4 linked regions of the Arabidopsis thaliana genome follow. The protein of the gene in region 3 interacts with the protein of the main gene of each other region in a pairwise test. Each region holds a gene or a part of one and is shown on either strand. Other genes may lie near its edges.

Evidence for each region.
Region 1: the proteins of AAP6 (region 3) and AT4G18220 interact in a protein complementation assay, tested with the Arabidopsis thaliana proteins (one large-scale study listed by BioGRID).
Region 2: the proteins of AAP6 (region 3) and CHX10 interact in a protein complementation assay, tested with the Arabidopsis thaliana proteins (one large-scale study listed by BioGRID).
Region 4: the proteins of AAP6 (region 3) and AT5G13400 interact in a protein complementation assay, tested with the Arabidopsis thaliana proteins (one large-scale study listed by BioGRID).

Annotation. Positions count from the first base shown.
Region 1 is NC_003075.7:10,076,699-10,080,914, reverse strand, and holds AT4G18220 (Drug/metabolite transporter superfamily protein), read right to left. Parts: upstream 2,278-4,216; 5' UTR 2,188-2,277; coding exon of another isoform or gene 2,148-2,187; coding exon 2,117-2,147; coding exon of another isoform or gene 2,071-2,116; intron 1,948-2,070; coding exon 806-1,947; 3' UTR 553-805; downstream 1-552. Other genes in the region: AT4G18230 (UDP-N-acetylglucosamine transferase subunit ALG14-like protein), read left to right, coding at 1-40, 218-394; PUP10 (purine permease 10), read right to left, coding at 3,420-4,216.
Region 2 is NC_003074.8:16,401,373-16,406,645, forward strand, and holds CHX10 (cation/H+ exchanger 10), read right to left. Parts: upstream 3,453-5,273; 5' UTR 3,301-3,452; coding exon 3,088-3,300; intron 2,907-3,087; coding exon 1,881-2,906; intron 1,799-1,880; coding exon 686-1,798; 3' UTR 519-685; downstream 1-518. UniProt on the Arabidopsis thaliana protein: May operate as a cation/H(+) antiporter.
Region 3 is NC_003076.8:20,141,907-20,148,275, reverse strand, and holds AAP6 (amino acid permease 6), read left to right. Parts: upstream 1-1,585; 5' UTR 1,586-1,834; coding exon 1,835-1,937; intron 1,938-2,343; coding exon 2,344-2,577; intron 2,578-3,411; coding exon 3,412-3,505; intron 3,506-4,078; coding exon 4,079-4,293; intron 4,294-4,380; coding exon 4,381-4,526; intron 4,527-4,941; coding exon 4,942-5,595; 3' UTR 5,596-5,846; downstream 5,847-6,369. UniProt on the Arabidopsis thaliana protein: Amino acid-proton symporter. Stereospecific transporter with a broad specificity for tryptophan, proline, and neutral and acidic amino acids. Has an affinity for aspartate in a physiological range.
Region 4 is NC_003076.8:4,296,147-4,301,272, reverse strand, and holds AT5G13400 (Major facilitator superfamily protein), read left to right. Parts: upstream 1-2,008; 5' UTR 2,009-2,193; coding exon 2,194-2,419; intron 2,420-2,506; coding exon 2,507-2,724; intron 2,725-2,901; coding exon 2,902-3,482; intron 3,483-3,569; coding exon 3,570-4,419; 3' UTR 4,420-4,585; downstream 4,586-5,126. Other genes in the region: AT5G13410 (FKBP-like peptidyl-prolyl cis-trans isomerase family protein), read left to right, coding at 1-1, 276-361, 448-498, 675-755, 846-890, 1,011-1,066, 1,193-1,268, 1,348-1,443; NEF1 (no exine formation 1), read right to left, coding at 4,701-5,126.

The sequences.
Region 1 (4,216 bases), on a different chromosome or scaffold from region 3:
GACCTGTATTCCTCTGTGTGTGATCGCCTTTTTATTCAAGGTATACACACTTCGGAAATATTTTATCAAGATTCTTTGCAGTTCTTTCCTCTACATTTTGGATGACCTTGAATGGACTTGTGACCAAAAACAGAGGATGTGTTTTGTTTATTCTTAGTCATGGTTTCTCCATTACATCTAGAATTCCCATAAGTGCTTGTTTCATCTTGGGTTACAGGTGCTGGGAATTAGATGGTCATCAATCTTTTATGTTGAGAGTGTAGCAAGAGTGAAAAAGCTCTCATTAAGTGGATTGTTGCTTTACAAGTTGAGAATAGCTGATCAATTCTTTGTTCAATGGCCACAACTGCATAAGAAGTATCCTCGGGCTCACTATGTTGGGTGCCTGATGTAAGCTGATTGGAACTCTACTTACACCTAGATATATTACAAAAACTTAGAAAGCTACATAGTGTACACCTTCTCTTTATATGCAGGATTGAGTTTTAAACAATGAATTTTTGTAATCAGCTGTTTTGACTTTGTTAATGACTTAATGCTATTTCAGTGAGCTTATAATGTGATTTTGGTCATCTTATTCCAAACTAAACCAGAATCGTGCACAACATATATTTAAATAAAATATACTTCATGTTACAATGATGCACACATTTTCAGGCTGTGACTTCACTTGAGTCGCATCACAAATCTATTATGTTTATTTTTCATTGTAGGCTGCCTTCATACCAATAAAGAAAAGTAAGTTTACTTGATCAGCTCGCTTTAGTCTGTAAACTGTGTGTGCCACAATCTTTGAAGTAACAGCTTATTTTGATTGCTCACTTGACCCTTCTGCTTCTGGTCGGTCAGGGGATTCTGTTGTTGGTATTTCATTACTTTTCTTCAAGTTTGTTTCATCAAGATATTGTTGGTAGACATAGGATACGAAACCCCAAATAGCTAGAATCATAGAAATCACCTTTAAGCCGTTCATTTTGTCATGGAAAATGATGACAGCCAGGATAGGAACCACGGGGAGTCCCAAAGCGCTTATTGCATTTGAGAATAGGGAGGAAAGCTCGAAGATCAGTCCTGTGCAACCGATGGAGAATACCTGCCAGGTAACAGCTGTCCACACTAGGTTCATGACATAGGATACCTTCCCAAGTTTGTAGTTTTCCATTTCACTGCTCAAAGTTTTCCACTCGCTACTAGCAAAAAGCCCCACCACGCTAACACAACTGGCCACTAGACTCATGTAGATTATCATATTTATAACTTCTGAGAAAGTTTGCTTCTTTAAAACTTTACGAAAGGCTAGCTGTTGTAGGGATAAGAGTAGACCAAACCCAGCAGATGCACCAACGGTGCATACGAAACCTTTGACATACTCTCCTTTTGTAACTTTTTTGGAATCTGATTCCTCGTTATTAAATGCAAGGAGGGTGGAAGATATAGTGAGGAGGAAAAGAGAATTCAAAATGATAGGAGTAAGTTTTTGTGAGTTGAGTAAATAAGAGAAGAAAGCGGTGAAGGCTAACTGTGATGCACAGATCAGGGAAAGGGTAGAAACAGGTAGGTAAAGCAGTCCAATGGAATATAGGTAGCAAGCTGCTCCTACAAGAAGTCCAAGCACTATGTAAACTAATGCACGGTTCCTAAGTGAGGTTAATTTGCCATCTCTCTGAGTTGTTGTATGTGTTTTGACTGACAAGAGATGATATGGAAGTAGAATAGGAAAGCCTACAAGCTGAACTACCGTTGCTAGCCATTTGCTGTTTCCTCCATTTTCATAGTATAGTCTGCCCAGAATTGTAGCAACTGATTGGCCTGAAATGACAAAGAATGTATAGATAGCAACCCGGAGCCACCGTTTGTATGTATTAGAGTGAGATAGTTTTGTTTGGCTGCCACTGACCGAACTTCTTTCGTCTTGATCTGTTGGAATTGGTTCTTTTCCCTGCTGAACTGGTGAGTGATGGAAAATAACGCAAGAAATTAGATTATGACTTATTTGTTGTCACACATGAAAAATATTGATATATTGAATAATAAGATACCATAACCATATTTTTCGTCTTTTATTTGAAGATAAAAGACCAGTAGGTTCTCGAGGAACTGGTTTATGCTTACTCACCAATGACTTGTACTTCTTGATCCCCCTTCATAGTAGATGTGGAATCCCCCTCCTTCGAGATGGACAAGGAGGTACTAACAATGTTCTGAATAGATTCTAAGTATTAGGTATCTTATTATCAAATTGCTTGGTTACTAGTGCTACCAAGTGATTGCTTCTGTGATATGGGTGAGACACGCTGTAGCTATATATTTAGAGATTAGGAATCGGTCATCGTCTATGTTTTGATTGTACTTGTCCCCACATTCAGTAAATGCCAACTGTATATCTTCTCTTGCTGTGAATTTAATTTCTTTTGTCACTATTGTTGATCTAGAGATGAGTCGAGTCAAATCAAGAAGGAAATGATGTGTAGCCATTAGTCACTCAGTATTTTATACCTGTGTGACACATCAGCCATATGCATAGACACAAACTTAACACGCATGCACACAAGTTGTAAGATTGTATGACCGTCAGGATGTCTATTTTGAAAGTTATTCGTCTTCTTTAATTTCTTTGGCTTGTTCCGTCTGACTATCTTTCTCTTATGAGATCAGGCATGTGGATTAGAAACACATTTATGGAGATGATGTCTCGCTTCTCTTTTCAAAAGAAGACATTTGCACCACAATATTGGATGGCAGAGGAAGTCACTTTATTAACTGCTAAGATGGAGACTGCCAAATGGTATTATTTCTGGTCATTTACTTTTTGTACAAAGCTCTGTTTCACCAAGGATGTTTGGACCTGTCTGATTAATATTTCTTCTTTCTTCATTAGAAATGATTTTCTGTGTGTCCTTGTTTCACAATGTTTCAGGTAAAACTAGAAAGTGGAATAGTGCATTGAAATCTTTTTAAGTTATGGCTAAGGGTTAATTTTTATCAGGTGTCACACTCACAAAATTGACATGGTTTTTTATTAAATAAATATCTACTTTTATCAATCTGCCTACAGGTTCTTGTTACATACAGGGTTGAGTTACATTTAATCTTTAGCTGCTATGAACCCAAGTTTAAACGATGAACTTTTGTAATCAGCTGTTCTAAACTTAAGATTGTTGGTTCACTGAGATTACAATGTAATTTGGGTAATCGTAATTGAAACTAAACCAAAGTCATTCACTACTTATTTAAATGAAATCTACTTCCTGTTACAATGATGCAAAAAATTTCAAGCTGAGACTTTACATTAGTTGCATCAAAAATGTATTGTGTATTCTTCAATGTAGGATGCCTCCAGGCCGATAAGTAAAGTAAGTTTACTTAACTAGATTGATTGAGTCTGTAAACTGCGGGACAGCATCTTTCAAAATATCAGCTTATTTTGATTGCCAAGTTGACTCTTCTGCTTCTGGTGGGTCAGGGGATTCTGTTGTTGTGATTTCATGATTTTTCTTCAAGTTTTTGTCATCAAGATATTGTTGGTAGACATAGGAAGTGAAACCCCAAATAGCTAGGATCATAGAAATCACCTTTAACCCATTCATTTTGTCATGGAAAATGATTACAGCCAAGATAGGAACCACTGGGAGTCCCAAAACGCTTATTGCATTTGAGAATAGAGAGGAGAGCTCGAAGATCAGTCCTGTGCCACCGATGGAGAATACCTGCCAGGTAACAGCTGTCCACACTAGGTTCATAATGTAGGATACCTTCCCATGTTTGTAGTTATCCATTTCACTGCTCAAAGTTTTCCACTCACTGCTAGCAAAAAGCCCCACCACGCTAACACAACTGGCCACTAGACTCACGTAGATTATCATATCCATAACTTCTGAGAAATTTTGCTTCTTTAGGACTTTTAGAAAGGCTAGCTGTTGTAGGGATAAGACTAGACCATAACCAGCAGACGCAGCAACGGTGCATATGAAACCTTTGACATACTCTCCTTTTGTAACTTTTGTGGAGTCTGTCTCCTCATTATTGAATGCAAGTAGGGTGGAAGATATAGTTAGGAGGAAAAGAGAATTTAAAATGATAGGGGTAAGTTTTTGTGAGTTAAGAAAATAAGAGAAGAAAGCATTGAAGGCTAACTGAGATGCACAGATCAGGGAATAGGTAGAAACGGGTAAGTAAAGAAGTCCAATGGAGTACAGATAGCAATCTGCTCCTACAA
Region 2 (5,273 bases), on a different chromosome or scaffold from region 3:
AATGTCTTTAATACTTCTTCCTTAAACTCGATTTGAGATATTATTAACCCTTAGAGAAAGCAGATATACATTAAGCTACATTTGGTTGTAATTTAATTTTGTTGATCATATCAAGACCACTGTGATATTAGAGGAGTGGAGAAAAGAGAAGAGTAAGGAAGAAACAAAGCAACCGAAGATTAAATTGGAAATGAACAGATAGATTTCCAAAGACTAACAAAAGATATAATATAAAACCCCAAATTCAGAAACTTTCTCCCAACTAGAACTGGTAATGTTTTTAATATTTTCAAAGGGTTTCTTCTTAGACAATGTTTCTTGCAGTTGAAGAAACATGTTTCTTTCTTGAAGATAAACATGGAGTCGCTTCGACTTTACAGACCAGTGTCAGCTTTGGGCAACCTAATGTTCTAAGAATACCAGAAGCTAGTGAAAGAGTGAAAGAGTGAAAGGACGGATTGAGAAACACAGAGTTGAGCTGGAGGAAGTATAACAATCTGAATCAAAGTTTATGGTTATTCCTTCTTATGGATTCTAAGTATGTTTAATTTGTATATAATGTAAAAAAATTTGTATGAATATATACGCATATTATATTTAAACAAATGAATGACTATTTATACATCTTAAAATTTTCTAAAAGTTTGCCCTAAATGAATACACACAGTCTTGCGGTCAAAACATGTCACGTTCGTTGTTGTTGTTGTTGAACTACTAAAACCGAAACCTTAGAGCTTAGATCTCTAGCCGCCAGCAAATCCCCGATGACACCTAACTCTGGTAGTTCGACCCATTCCATTAGTCCTGATAAGTCTTGTGATGTCATATCATGATCTCTCCCGACCACCATTAGATCGTACTCTTCTGCAAGCAATTGGACAGCTTTGACTACCTCAACACTACTAGTCACAATCCTCTCTATATAATCAATATCTTTGTTGTCTTCAGTACTCTTCAAATCCTTTAAGCCTTCGTTATCAAGAATATAATCCCAATCTGACTCTATTTCATGGTCGAAGACGAGTCGGATCACGGTTACACGGATCCTCGGGTTATTTTTCATCCTCTTCACCAATGATAGTGCTTCCCTATCGTCTTTGCCTCCAATGAAGAGCACACCAACATCAATGATGTACCTTTTTTTGCTCGTTACAATACTTTTTCGCGAGAATTGTCCACGGTCTACTAGTATGCCGATAGAACAAGGCGCACGATCGAGTAACGACTGGTTTAGATGTCTTATAGCAGTGTTGTCAGACTCGAATAACCCATCTACAGTCCATTTCCTCCCCGATGGGACGACAATCATCGATGTTGTTTTGTCAAGTGCAAGTGTACAAATGTCTTCGTGCATCAAGTTTTCATGCGAGAACGCAGTGAACGTTGTCACGGTTACAGACTCTAAGCTTTCTAACACGAATTGTCTAAAGGCAAGGTTTGCGGTATGGATGTATGAGTCTTTGTTAAGCCGTTTCAATTTCTTGTCGTGTGAGACTATGATAGGGTTTATCTGACCAACGAGCTTCACAAGGTGGAGAACTGTAACCGCGATAGGGAAGTCTAGGTTCGGTGAGGACAACAATTGTAGGAATGCTATGGTCTCTGAGACGTTTTCTGGTTTGTGCAAACAAGTTAGAATTCGAAGATCTGAGTTTCGTTCTAGATGCAATATGTCCCTTTTCTGGTAATTAACGTACTTTCTTCTTGGATCGTACATCCTCCTTAAGACAGTAGGGACAATCCCGGCATTTAGTAGCGAATATAAGATTAAGAACGAGTAAGTGGCTTGCGATATGTACTGCAAAACCAAACCATAAAAAAATGTTTAGATTAATGGCAAATGATACCAATAATCGACTATTTGCGAGTTAGGAGGTTACCGTGTCGTCTAATACAGCTTCATAGAGAACAAAATCAGCAAAACTTTTGTAGCTCAAGATGAAGGAAACAGCCAAGGATTCACTGAGAGGTAACTTGTAGTACAAGCAAGGTGCAAGGCATGCGACCAGTTTTATGACAAGTATAAGAAATGTTAGGAAGATGTTGAAGAAGATGTCATTGAACTGGCTAAGGATCCTTGCTCCATCACATCTCATCGCGCTGAATGTGATTGAGATTGGTAAGAACACGTTCATTGTGAGCCTCTCAAACTTAGCCTCTAGAGCCGATCCTAATGGTGGACCCTCTGGTATGATGATGCCAATCATTAATGGTCCTAAAATATATTTCATGTTGAAAAACACAAAATAAGCAGCGGAAGCCAATGCGGTAATAATCACGGCATGAATGTACATATCCTCCACTGGCTTGTCTTCCGGTGTGCGGTCTATGACCCATTGCACCATAGGCTTAAAAACAAGAAAGACGACGAGAAAAAAGATGATCACCGCGACAGTGTCACGATAGGCTGTTGCATGTGAAACATGAATGTAGGTCGCTTGTATAGAGGCAACTATCATGGAAAAAATCCCCAAGATGTCGTTGATGACACATGCAGACAATGCAAGGCGACCTAGCTCGGAGTTGATGATCTTGAGCTCTAGCAAGATATATGTAGTGGAAGGCAAAAGTATCGAAGATTGAGTTATGACAATCGCAGTGCGCTCACCTAGGGCTTTAGTTAGAGGCATGTAGTGAGGGTCGATGTTGTCAGAAAAAAAATTCTGGAAACCGAGACCAAACAGAGGAGCAAAGAAGGACACGATCCCGATCACAACGGGCAATTTTCCGCTATGGAACGCCACTCGCCTGCTGGTTCTAACAGTCATTAGAAACGTAAACATTAGTGTTCCAAACACCGAGATGCATCTTAACGCTGCGATTCCATCCAACGCAGGATCCACGGATAGTTTCCCTGAAGATTTCTCTAGTACATCAAAAAGCTGAGGCCCTAGAACTATTCCAGCCTGCACATAAATTTATATATATGATTTCAGTTTCTGAAAAATATCTTCAATAGCACGCATGCATGATCTTCTTTGTCCCTTAAACAATTTACGTGCTTGTCAAGTTACATCTACTTTTGTAGTTCTAATAATTGGAAATATCTTGTGTGCTTGCCAAGTTAGATATGGAAAACTTGCTTACAATCATATATGAAGCGATTTGGGAAATGCCGATGCATCTGAGGAACATATGAGACATGACAATGCAGAAGAATATCAGTATTATCTGAATCTCTAGGAGAGGCAGCGAGTAGCCGAAAACCACATCAGGCGATTTTAGGTTATCCCAAAATCCCTGGGAAGATATGTTGAAGAATGATATTCGACAATCCCCAATGTAAGTAGTCGTGTTCATGAATATAAGCCAATAACTTAGCAAAACTTGGGGATGAAAATGCTTTTTTTTTGTGTTATAAAGTTTAAGTCTCTGGAAAAGAAGAAAAAAAAGTGTTCATTCTTTGAATTTGGGTTTTGAAAAGAGTCTTGTTAGTTTTTTGTGTTGTTTTTGTCTGGTCTTTGGTAAATAGCTGTCATAATCTCTCTGGAACAAATGTAACTTTCCAATTTAGAAAAAAAAAATATATATATCCAGAGAGTAACTGTTTTTTTTTTCCATTTTGTTTGTTCAAAAACGTAAAATCTAGAACATGAAGAATTTGCTTTGCTAAATAAAATTGCAAGCTTGGAGGTTTGAGCCAAAATTAGCTCAAAGTTTCTGTTTGGGGACCCAAGTTTATAGTCTAGAAATATTTTCCAACTGCTTCAATCTAAGTTTACAATTTTTTTTCTTTCCTTCCCTTGATAATATTTTTTCCGATCTAATAATACTTATAAAATTAGTGACCACCCTAAAATCCGATATACAATTAATCCGATAGATCTATATATACATTTTTGCAACCATTTTGTGAAATAAATCCTGTAGTTCGGATTTATTTACAATGGTTGCCACTGGATTTTAATGTTTGTTTTTGATAATTAAAAAGAAAATCTTCGAATTAAATATTTGACATTTAACAATCTTCCCAAAATCTCTTCATATTAACTACATGATTATTTACTAAAATAATACTTCTAAAATATTTAATATCATTTAATTACTACAAAATTATCATTTTTGATATTGCTTTTCTCCATAACTATAACAATTCGATTATAATCATCAAAGCGCAGAGATATAATCTGATAGCATTTAATTACTACAAAATTACAAAATATTTAGACAATGATTCATAAACATATCATAAATAAGATCAACATTAATAAAATAAATGGTTTTTTTTACAGGACGGGTTTGGCAGGACGTTACTTAATAATATTTGTAAACTATAAAATAAAATTATTTTATAGATAGATATAATTTGTAAACTTTTATATATATACTAACTTTAAAAAATAAATTGTTCCCGTGGTATACCGCGGGTTAAAATCTAGTTTAGACGTACATACGCAAAAAAGTGAGGAAAGATTCAAACCATAATTAAAATGTTTAATATGGCTGGTGGTCAAAAGTTTATCTGAAATTTCTGGTGCTTATTACCTTTCATTACCTCAATTACTAAAAACATCTGAAATATGAAATAATTAAAATCAGTATTCAAGTTAAATTATATTACAAATATTAAACATACAAAAAAATGTTGTATTTTTTATTGTTTTAATGGTGAGAAATGGTAAAATTTTTGGAAAATGTTTTAACAATAAAATACACCAAAAATAATAATATATAATCGTTTGATTTGCTCAAAGGCTGATTTCAAATGAGAATCTTTCAAAATCTACCACTGAATAAATACAGATTAATTGGTGGACAAGATGTGAGATTCATGATAATAGAGCAAGATGATGAAATTGAGGACAAGATCTAGACGCAACAGAGAATTTCCAATCGAAGATAATATCTGGAGACAAAAATGCGGAATTATATAAGGGTTTGTGGATCTATGGTCGTTTTATCGAAGTTATCTTTCAAAATTTCTTTCAATCTAGATCTTGAAAAAGAGAAATTTTAATTTTTATGTGCCAAGTTCACATTTTTTCTTAACCATTAATCTGTATTTATCCACTTTTACTAATTCTTGCTATACACTTTTAATTCTACAATTTTTATACTTATTTTGTTTTTGGTGAATATTTTTATACTTATTATTTCAAAACTAAACGCAAATATATTTTATATTAAAAAAAATTTAAATTCGAGAAAGAACTCTCAGAAATGATCATGGTAATTTCTTCTCCAAACGCCTTAATTTGTTTAAGAAACCTCCCTCAACTTATATTTTGATGCATAAATCGCCCTTCTCGATAAAGGTGTTAGTCAACCGTTAT
Region 3 (6,369 bases):
ACCGTGAGGAAAATTATGGAGACATATGTGGTATGTCTCTGTGTGATTACAAGAGAATCAAAGAACAAAAGTAGTTTATAGTTTTGAAGTTTAATTTGTAGTATTTTACTTTTGAACTATGTACGTGGTTTAATTTCTTCAATGAATTTAAGATTTTTTGTATTATTTTATTTATAATTAGTGATTATTGAAAATAAAACAATTATTAAAAAATATTTATGAAAACTAAAATTAATTCAATCGGTTATTCAGTATTTGACAAAAAAAAATTAACATCCATTATTTTAAATGATACAATTATTTGAATCATTTATTAAAACTGACATTAATCTTTACATCAGTAATTTACAATCAATACAAATATTTAACATCACTTACAATAATCGAAACAAATACTAACATCATTTTTATTAATCGATGCAAAATTAACATCATCTATTTGCAAATGATACATAATAACATCGGTTATAATAATCGATGCAAATATTTATTTTAAATGATGTAAATTATTTACATCAACAGTATATAAATCATTTATTTAAATGATGTAATTTTCTTTTACATCAATTATAAGTAATACAAATATTTAAAATAAATGATATAAAATGATCACTTTTTTGTAGTGACTGGCTAAACCGATGAAAACAAATATGAATTGAAATCAAAGAAATAATGTTATCTTGTGTAACAAGACTTTGAAAACTTAATTAGCTTATTCTCTTTTAACTTTGGTATAAATAAACAACTTTTATATTTGCTATGAAATATACCAAAAACGGGCTTTGTAATTGGTCGACTCTCTTATCAGAATTTGATGTCAAGACCGCGTGATAAAACATCAAGAACATGGTCTAACATAGTGGAAAGAAAAAAATATTTGATAGTAATAGAATCGTTGAAAATTCAACTATCGTCAACCTTATTCAACAGGAATATAAAACGAAAAACCGTAATTGGCTCGAAGTTTGGTTGAAAAATCAAAAGCCAAAATCTATGAACGAGATTAATCGCCCACTAAAGTCCCTTCTGTTATTGGCACACGCTCTTGTCGTTATAGTTAAAAAGTTCTTCAAATACAGAGACATTTTGTTTATGTACTACATACGATTCGGTTTGGTGAACAAAATATCATAAAACTTGGTTCATGTTGATATATAGATTCATAAGATGTATTTTTGTCTTATATATGTTTCTGTATCATGGGTTAAAATGTTTTACAAATATGTTTTTTTTTTTAAAATATGTATTTATGTATATATGAATCCGTACGCGTAGTAGTAAAATGAATTAGAAAGGAATAGGAATTGAAAATTTCATATTATGTGTATGTGTGGAATCAAGAAATGAATAAAATGATAAGTGGTGGACCTTGTAACCTAAGATCCAGGAAACTACAGAGGAGAGCCACTGATAGTGTGTCAATAATTATTCTCCCACCCATCCACAAAGAAAAGTTAATTTAATTTATCACTCTCAGTAAATTATAATCAAAATAAACACCAACAGTAGTCAACTTTCAACAAATGGGTCTGAGCCTATCCAATATATATAATCGATCGAAGCAATCTATTCGACATTAATGAATCTCATTCATAAAATCATAACGTAAAATAATAAATATATTAATTACAGAGACAGACAATAATGAAAGGTGTGAAAAATGAACACTACAATATAAAAGATGACATTTAAAATAAAATAAAAGAGAGAAAGGGATTAGGTGTGAAATGTGGTGTGTCTATTTAAGTGGAGAAGAGTCCTTGACACTCCATACATACTACCTTTGGCCTCTTCTTCTTATTTTATCATAGCTAAGCTCAAAAACAATCGATAGATGGAGAAGAAGAAGAGCATGTTCGTTGAACAGAGCTTCCCGGAGCATGAAATTGGCGATACTAACAAAAACTTTGACGAGGATGGCCGCGACAAAAGAACTGGTAACTCATCGTTATCTCTCTAAATCTTATATACGCTATGATTCAGACAGCATGATCACATAGATGTGTATATATAACGGGCAAGTAAATAAGTCTCAGCTAGTCCATTGTATTGTATGTGTTGGCATGCAAAATTATGATTATGTTTCAAAGAAGATTTATTTTAGCACGTTAAACAATTCTAGACGCAAGCGTGAAACATTAATAAAAGACGAGAATTTGTTTCCGTTTGACGTTTAAGTGTACACTGAAAATATTTTTTAGTAATTGCGAATATTCTATCTTTTATAGGCGTAAACTTGTTTTTTTTTTCTACGTGTTAATGCGGACATAAACGCAAAATTAGCGTTTGCAGTAATTGCATCCTAAATAACATAGAGTTTGTGTGGTTAATTGAATTGTATAGGGACATGGATGACCGGGAGTGCACACATAATAACGGCCGTGATAGGGTCGGGAGTGTTGTCTTTGGCGTGGGCAATCGCACAACTTGGATGGGTGGCAGGACCCGCCGTACTAATGGCTTTTTCTTTCATAACATATTTTACATCAACCATGCTTGCCGATTGTTACCGTTCCCCTGACCCTGTTACCGGCAAACGCAACTACACCTACATGGAAGTTGTCCGATCCTATCTAGGTCAGATTCGCTATCTATCTTCTTCTTCTTTTTTGTTGGTCAATCACTCTGAAGAACCTTTATGACAAGTAGTATTAAGTTTCATGAACTTCTAGTTTAAACTCGCTCTAAAAATACTAAAAGATTACATTTCAATATATATTCCTGTGTTATATATACACATGCTGTTTTGTAGTAAATATTATGTGAAGTTGGTCTTAAAATTGACATGATGTAAATATCACGTCAGTTTTTATAACCGATTCAAATTAAACATCAGTTATAACAAGCGATGCAAATATTATGTGAAGTTGCATCAGTTGTTAATAAATCGATGTAAATTATTTGCATCAACAAGATACGAATCGTTTATTTAAGTGATGTAAAATTTCTTTACATCAATTATAAGTAATACAAATATTCAATATAAGTGATTTAAAATGATATTTTTTTTGTAGTGATCCCATGTGAAGTTATAATTCATTCTTTCAGCATCATAGTCTCTTGGAGTTTTCTCTTTGTCCTCACCACACTTATTATTCTCTTCCCTTTTAACTATCAAAAGATACCCTCCCCTTAACTTTAAGATTTTAAATTAAGAAATCGTAGACACGAAAAATCTAAGAACTAACAAATATTTTGATAAAGACAGCTTCTAAAATTCAATATCTGAATAGTATCTCTTGGAAAATGTCGTGTTGTGGTCGGTCACATTTCAACACTCTTGTACAAAAGCGTCAACTTGACTTCATGTGACAGTTTTTGTTTATTAGAGATGTTTAGTTGTAGAATTGATGATTTATGTATATAACAACGATATTCTATAGATATATATTGATGTTAAAAGATAAACAGGAGGAAGAAAAGTGCAATTATGTGGATTGGCTCAATACGGGAATCTGATTGGAATAACAATCGGCTACACAATCACAGCTTCAATTAGCATGGTGTAAGTTTTCTTTTTATTTTCTTTTTTTTTATTTACTTCTCTTTTATGATAAATATTTTATTATCATTTGTTAAATAGTCAAAGTCAATAATAGCAAACTCTCCTTTTCCTTAACTTATTATCAAGCATGTTTATTAAGTCTTAAGGCTGGACAACAAATGCCTGATTTTATTAATTTACACTACTACATTTGAAGACAAAGTGCTATGTCTATGATGATAGGCAGCAATATGCTATATAAAATTCCATAAATCTTTTTTTCTTTGGCATGTGTTAGTTATTCGATTTAATGGGCTAACTTATATTGGATCTAATGGAATGTCGAATGAAACAATTTCAGAAAAAAATAAAACAATCAATAATCGAGTTTGATCTATGATGATTGTCGAATTCTGAAAAATAAATTTTTATTTTGGTTAATTATGTTAAAATTATATTGATAAAATATGAATGTTAAATTTTATAACTATTCTTTTGCACACACAAAAAAAAATTATAACTATTATATGAATGAATTGTTTCAATATAGGAAAAAAAGCATTAGACTGACGATGTAAGGATTCATTGAAACAGGGCAGTGAAGAGGTCGAATTGTTTCCACAAAAATGGGCATAATGTTAAATGTGCCACTTCAAACACTCCCTTCATGATCATATTTGCAATCATCCAAATTATTCTTAGCCAAATCCCAAATTTCCATAACCTCTCTTGGCTCTCCATTCTTGCGGCCGTAATGTCCTTTTGTTATGCCTCCATCGGTGTTGGTCTCTCCATCGCCAAAGCGGCGGGTAAATAAAATATACATTCCTATTCTTACAATTATACATCTTCTTAAAGAGTGTGACCTAATGGTTTTGAAGAACGTACAAATAAAGGTGGCGGTGAGCACGTAAGAACAACACTGACAGGAGTTACGGTCGGGATTGATGTATCGGGTGCCGAGAAAATATGGAGAACGTTCCAAGCGATTGGGGACATTGCATTTGCCTACGCATACTCAACTGTTCTCATTGAAATACAGGCAAGTCACTATTAATGTCCTACTGATATTTTGTAAGCATGTTACATGTTGAGGGTTGACTTAATGATAGTAGGAGTTAGGGAGACAGCAATAAGAGAGAGTCCCAAAAAATTGAATTGTGTGCCGTCTGGTCGCAAAGTAAACGTCACTGCATGGACCTACCCATTAAAGACATAGAGTTACTTTTGAGAGGAGACAGTCTATTAGGAAACTTATTCAATTTGAAATCATTTCAATATTGAAAACAATTTAAAAGATTAGGATGAATTAATAAGAGTTCACCACAATCCAGATAACTCATGTTAAAAAAAAAAAAAAAAAAGAGTTTCTGTTAAGTTTGGTTTAGCTTCTATTGTTTTGTTTGTCTATCTCTACTAAACTATTAACAATTGTATATTTCTCTAAACCATGGCAGGACACCTTGAAAGCAGGTCCTCCATCGGAGAACAAAGCCATGAAAAGAGCAAGCCTTGTGGGTGTCTCCACAACAACCTTCTTCTACATGTTATGCGGTTGTGTTGGTTACGCTGCCTTTGGAAATGATGCTCCTGGAAATTTCCTAACTGGTTTTGGTTTCTATGAGCCATTCTGGCTAATCGACTTTGCCAATGTCTGCATCGCCGTGCACCTTATCGGCGCCTACCAAGTCTTTTGTCAACCAATTTTTCAGTTCGTAGAGAGCCAGAGCGCGAAACGTTGGCCTGATAACAAGTTTATTACAGGAGAATACAAAATCCATGTCCCTTGCTGTGGTGATTTTAGTATCAACTTCCTCAGATTGGTATGGAGGACTTCATATGTTGTGGTCACCGCGGTTGTAGCCATGATCTTCCCTTTCTTCAACGATTTCTTGGGTCTTATTGGAGCAGCTTCCTTCTGGCCTTTGACTGTTTACTTTCCCATTGAGATGCATATTGCTCAGAAGAAGATACCGAAATTCTCTTTCACTTGGACTTGGTTAAAAATCTTGAGTTGGACTTGTTTCATTGTGTCCCTCGTTGCTGCAGCCGGATCAGTGCAAGGACTCATACAAAGTCTCAAGGATTTCAAGCCTTTCCAGGCTCCTTAGTGAAAATATGTGTTCTCGCCAACGTCTCCAAGAACACAAGTTCCATGCACTCTCTTCCCTCCAATAAAAGTTTCTATTTCTTTGTAGTTTATTGGTGTGAGACAATCTCATACCAAAATATTGTACCTCTACTTGCTTGTCTTAAACAAATCTATCATCAGTTTATCCCATTTCCTTTTCTTGGTCCTTGCGTTACCTCAATAAAATCATTAAACAAAGGGGAAAAAAGAAATCAGAATATGCTAAAACACAACACAAATTAAGGAATAACCTATCTTAGTATATGAATGTCCCAGTTCGTCTTAAGTCGCTGTGCCAGCAACAAAGGCTACTACGGAGAGAAACAATATACCATAGTAAAATGAAAAGTGATCTCTGTAAATGGACACCAGCAACGTTGGTAGTTATGATTTGAAATCGCTATTATGACACCTCTCCACATACTTGGGTCTTAAGCAACTATACTCATAGCTTTTTTTGGTTGCTTTACTGTGTAGCTGCGACATGCAGAAGTACAAGGCCAATAGCTTACACGTTAAAAGGGTTGGTTCTTCTCTCACAAGGTATAAAACAACACTTTATTCATAAATATGTATATTTTTTTTGGGTCAAAATTCATAAATATATATTGAAATTTAAGTTTTTGATGGTAGAAAAAGGGGTTAAATGATTCATGGAATTGGAAAAACTCTCCTTAAGCTTCGCCTACTTGCTGAGATGTTTGTTTGATCCAATGTGGGTAATTGTCGGAATGCAAGCATCTGGCACGATGCT
Region 4 (5,126 bases), about 16 Mb from region 3:
AGTAAGAATTTTCAATTTCTTTTTGGAGGGCAGAGAATCTTTCTCAGGGTTACATTTCGATTAAGTTGTTGCTTTGTGCCTTATTAAGTAAAGTTATTGGCATTTGTAATTTGGAACATTGTTTGATTGTCCACTGTTAAGAGTTTGGTTGTGAGAGAAAGATGTGTTCTTTAGGTGAAGTTAATTTATCCGTGCGTGATTGTTGAAATCATCGATATAGCCTCTTTTTTTTCTAAAGCCACATTCTTTTCTTGGTATATTACTTGCATTCACAGTGCCAGCGCTTAAAGGGAAGGATTATGGCAAAACAAAAATGAAGTATCCAGATTATACAGAAACACAGTCTGGTCTTCAGTATAAGGTCACCCCTCATTAGTCCCATATCTTATATCTAATATAGTTTAGACTATGCGGTGATCATTAACTTGAAGATTTGAGATGCTGCAGGATTTGCGAGTAGGAACTGGGCCTATAGCAAAAAAGGGAGACAAAGTTGTGGTAAGGAAATTTCTGCATATCTATGGTTTTGTATCCTTGGTCTCAAGTTTATCTAGAAGTTTGCTCTGGTTAGAGAGTTTGGAGTTTGCTTTGCTTGTATCTATGTTAGCAAATTAATGTTTCAAAGACCATAGGTTTTGCTAGTAGTTATAAATAATTGAAGCTGGGTATGTTAGGTTGACTGGGACGGTTACACAATAGGGTACTATGGACGCATATTTGAAGCTCGCAATAAAACAAAAGGGGGTTCTTTTGAGGTATAAACACGTTTTGGCTCTTTTTTTTTTTGTTTCATTAGCTACAATGATACAGTCCTTAATCTTTGTTTTCTTTTTGTGAATCTGTAGGGCGATGATAAGGAATTTTTCAAATTTACCTTAGGATCCAATGAGGTGGGCGAAATTCCAAGTCCTTCTAGTTGCTATATGGGTTTTACCGGTTTAAAGAATGGATTTTGTTACTGATTGTATGAATTGTTTCTTTCTGGATGCTGCATGATTTTGGTGTTCCAGGTGATACCTGCTTTTGAGGAGGCTGTCTCTGGGATGGCTCTCGGTGGTATCAGAAGGTTCAACATCTTTCTAATATTTCTAACTCTACACATCCTCCATATGTTTTTCATATAGAACTCACTCTTCACACAAATGGTAGACGGTAGAATGAATCAGTGTAAATAATTAGCTTGGTATTGCAGGATAATTGTACCGCCAGAACTAGGATACCCGGATAATGACTACAACAAGAGTGGGCCGAGGCCGATGACTTTCTCTGTGAGCCTTATGTTTGTTTTATGTAAACATGTATAAGAAAGACATAAGTTTTAAATGTTGTCTCTTTATGTTTGCGCAGGGACAACGTGCATTAGATTTTGTGCTGAGGAACCAAGGGCTCATAGACAAGACACTTCTCTTTGATGTTGAACTCCTCAAAATTGTACCCAATTGATGTAACATCGACAGTCTTAACTCACGTACATATATATTTATTTATGATGTGTATACTACATTGGCACATTTGTGTAAATTGAGCTCAGTTTATATCATATAATGTTAGCTCTTTTTAGGAGTGTTAAAAAAAAAAATAGCCATGCATCACCAACTAACTGTTCATCATGTTAATTCTGCTTCCTCTTTTTAGTTATATTATCCCTTATAGTGAGGTAAGTTATTATAACATTTCATAGAAAGTTTAGAATAAAATGAAATGTGAACACAAAAACCAGTGTAAGCAGCTTCTGTTGTTTTGACTTTATTGAGTAGCCAATGTTGGTTCAATGTCAGAGTCATCATTAATGGAGACTGCAAAAATAAAAGAACAAGTTGCAGTGACGCATTGTAGAAGTCCTTCAATGAGTTTATGTCTTTCAAGGACAAAACATATCAAATGAATCCACATTTCTCTAAATAAGTCCTTTCTTGAACGTTGAAACTGTGGACATCATGGGAGTCCACGTGCAATAAATGCCAGTCCTATATCTACCACTTACCAGCTAAGCTCCGTCTATTTAATTCCATCTTCCCATTTTAAGCTACTGCATTTATACATTTCTCTAACCAATCCTCATACATCCTTTTCTGCTTACAGATTTTGTTTGGCTGGATTAATTATTTCATTTATTAACTTAAGCTCTCTTGCTGTTTTTGGTCACTCTGATGCTTTCAGTTTCCATGGTTTTATGAGAAAATATCATTGATTATGGTTGCTTCTGAGATTAAATCCCCGGTGAGTGTCCCCGAGACTCCGGGAAGCTCCTCTGTGCATCATAGGAAGCAGTTGAGTGTGTTCTTCATAGAATCAGATAACAGACGTCTTGCTCTTGGCCGTGGCTATACCGGAGGAACCACTCCCGTTAACATCCATGGCAAACCCATCGCCAATCTTTCCAAAACCGGTGGTTGGATCGCAGCTTTCTTCATTTTTGGTAACTTTCTTTTCACTTACATCTAGATTATCAGTAGTTCTACGTGCAGTGCAGCTTAGTTTTGGTGGAATGGTTGCAATGTTTTAGGAAATGAAATGGCAGAGAGAATGGCGTATTTCGGACTCTCGGTGAACATGGTGGCGTTCATGTTCTACGTAATGCATAGGCCTTTTGAAAGTTCATCAAACGCAGTCAACAACTTCCTTGGCATCTCTCAAGCCTCCTCTGTTCTTGGAGGCTTCTTAGCCGACGCTTACTTGGGTCGATACTGGACTATTGCCATCTTCACTACCATGTATCTTGTCGTAAGTAGTACTGTTTTGTTCTCTGTATTTTGTTTATTTATTTATTTATGACTTATGGTTAAGGTCTTGTGCAAATGGTGCAATTTGAAGAACATCGTCTAATACGCAAGACCGAACATATGTTATGTGATGGATACTTTGAAATCTTTTCTTTTCTTTTGTTTTGCATGTGAAAAGGGTTTGATAGGAATAACATTGGGGGCAAGTTTGAAGATGTTCGTACCAGACCAGAGCAACTGTGGCCAGTTATCATTGCTCTTAGGAAATTGTGAAGAAGCCAAATCTTGGCAAATGCTTTATCTCTACACGGTTCTCTACATAACCGGATTCGGAGCTGCTGGTATAAGGCCATGTGTTTCCTCATTTGGTGCTGACCAGTTTGATGAGAAGAGCAAAGACTACAAGACACATTTAGACCGTTTCTTCAACTTCTTCTATCTATCGGTCACTTTAGGCGCAATCATTGCCTTCACTTTGGTGGTATATGTTCAAATGGAACTTGGTTGGGGTATGGCTTTTGGCACATTGGCCGTAGCCATGGGGATTTCTAATGCTTTGTTCTTTGCTGGTACACCGCTTTATCGGCATAGGTTGCCTGGTGGTAGTCCCTTGACTAGGGTAGCTCAGGTCTTAGTTGCCGCTTTCCGCAAACGAAATGCAGCTTTCACAAGCAGTGAGTTCATCGGTCTTTACGAAGTTCCTGGCTTGAAATCTGCTATTAATGGCAGTCGTAAAATCCCTCATTCCAATGATTTCATGTAAGGCTTCTTCTTTTGTGTACATCTTCCTATAAGGAAAATAAAACTTAATACTAGTATTTATCAGTCGAATGAATTCATATGCAGATGGCTAGACAAGGCGGCACTTGAGTTGAAAGAAGATGGATTGGAACCATCTCCATGGAAGCTATGCACAGTAACACAAGTAGAGGAAGTGAAGATTCTGATCAGATTGATTCCAATCCCAACATGCACTATAATGCTGAGTCTGGTCTTGACTGAGTATCTTACACTCTCAGTGCAACAAGCTTACACACTCAACACACACATTCAACACCTCAAGCTTCCAGTGACCTGCATGCCAGTTTTCCCAGGCCTAAGCATTTTCCTCATTCTCTCCCTTTATTACTCTGTCTTCGTCCCTATCACCAGAAGAATCACTGGCAATCCTCATGGTGCTTCCCAGCTTCAAAGAGTGGGCATAGGGCTAGCAGTTTCAATCATATCAGTAGCTTGGGCTGGGCTATTCGAGAACTACAGGAGACATTACGCGATACAAAATGGTTTTGAGTTCAACTTCTTGACCCAAATGCCTGATCTAACCGCGTACTGGTTGTTAATCCAGTACTGTCTCATCGGAATCGCAGAGGTTTTCTGCATAGTAGGGCTATTGGAGTTCCTTTACGAGGAAGCTCCGGATGCTATGAAGAGTATTGGTTCGGCTTACGCTGCTCTAGCCGGCGGGTTAGGGTGTTTTGCTGCCACCATTTTGAACAATATTGTCAAGGCTGCGACTCGGGACTCAGATGGGAAATCGTGGTTATCGCAGAACATAAACACGGGGAGATTCGACTGCTTGTACTGGTTGCTCACACTTCTGAGCTTTTTGAATTTCTGTGTGTTCCTTTGGTCAGCGCATAGGTACAAGTACCGAGCTATCGAGTCTGAGGAAGACAAGAGTAGTGCTGTTCTTTAAAGACACCACTTCTGTGTTCTCTTCTCGTTATTCTTTTTGATAAAACAGCAGTAATTGTATCATCCTACTTTGCTTTCCTATAGCTAATGTTTAAGGGTGGAAAATCCGCTAAACGTGATTGTTCGTTTGTAAGAAGACCAATAAAATTAAGTTGTTCAAACGTCGTATATTGGCAATTTCCAATGCATCCACTGAGAAACAAAGCTGGGAAATGAAAACACTGTTTCACAAATTCTGTTACAAAAAGGGTCGAAAACATTACTAATCAATCCTACGACTGTCTAAATATACCTCAGCCCTTTCATATATTGTTGCCTAGATATCACATACTGAGCCGCAGAGTAAACAATGCCTAAAACTCCCAGAACCCTAACTTGAAACACGTCTGTTATTATTACGGCTGCAAAGCTAAGTGGCACGGTCAGCATCGGCGACGCGTCTGTGTGTTTGGTGGTGTAACTCCAAACGTACCTGTTGAATATGATGTGACCTGGTGCTGTGAGTATTAGGAGAGCCAGGTTCTTCACCGCAAAAAACCATTCACGGCCTCCAATTTCGACTCCCCAACCTGTGTTTCCACCAAACCAAACTTCTTCCCATACAGTGTAGAGCGAGGATAATGCCAAATATGTTGATATGGCTACTGTAACCGGGAAGTATCTCTGTTTATCACCAAACCCGGATAAGAGATCAGAGTCTTGGTTCAG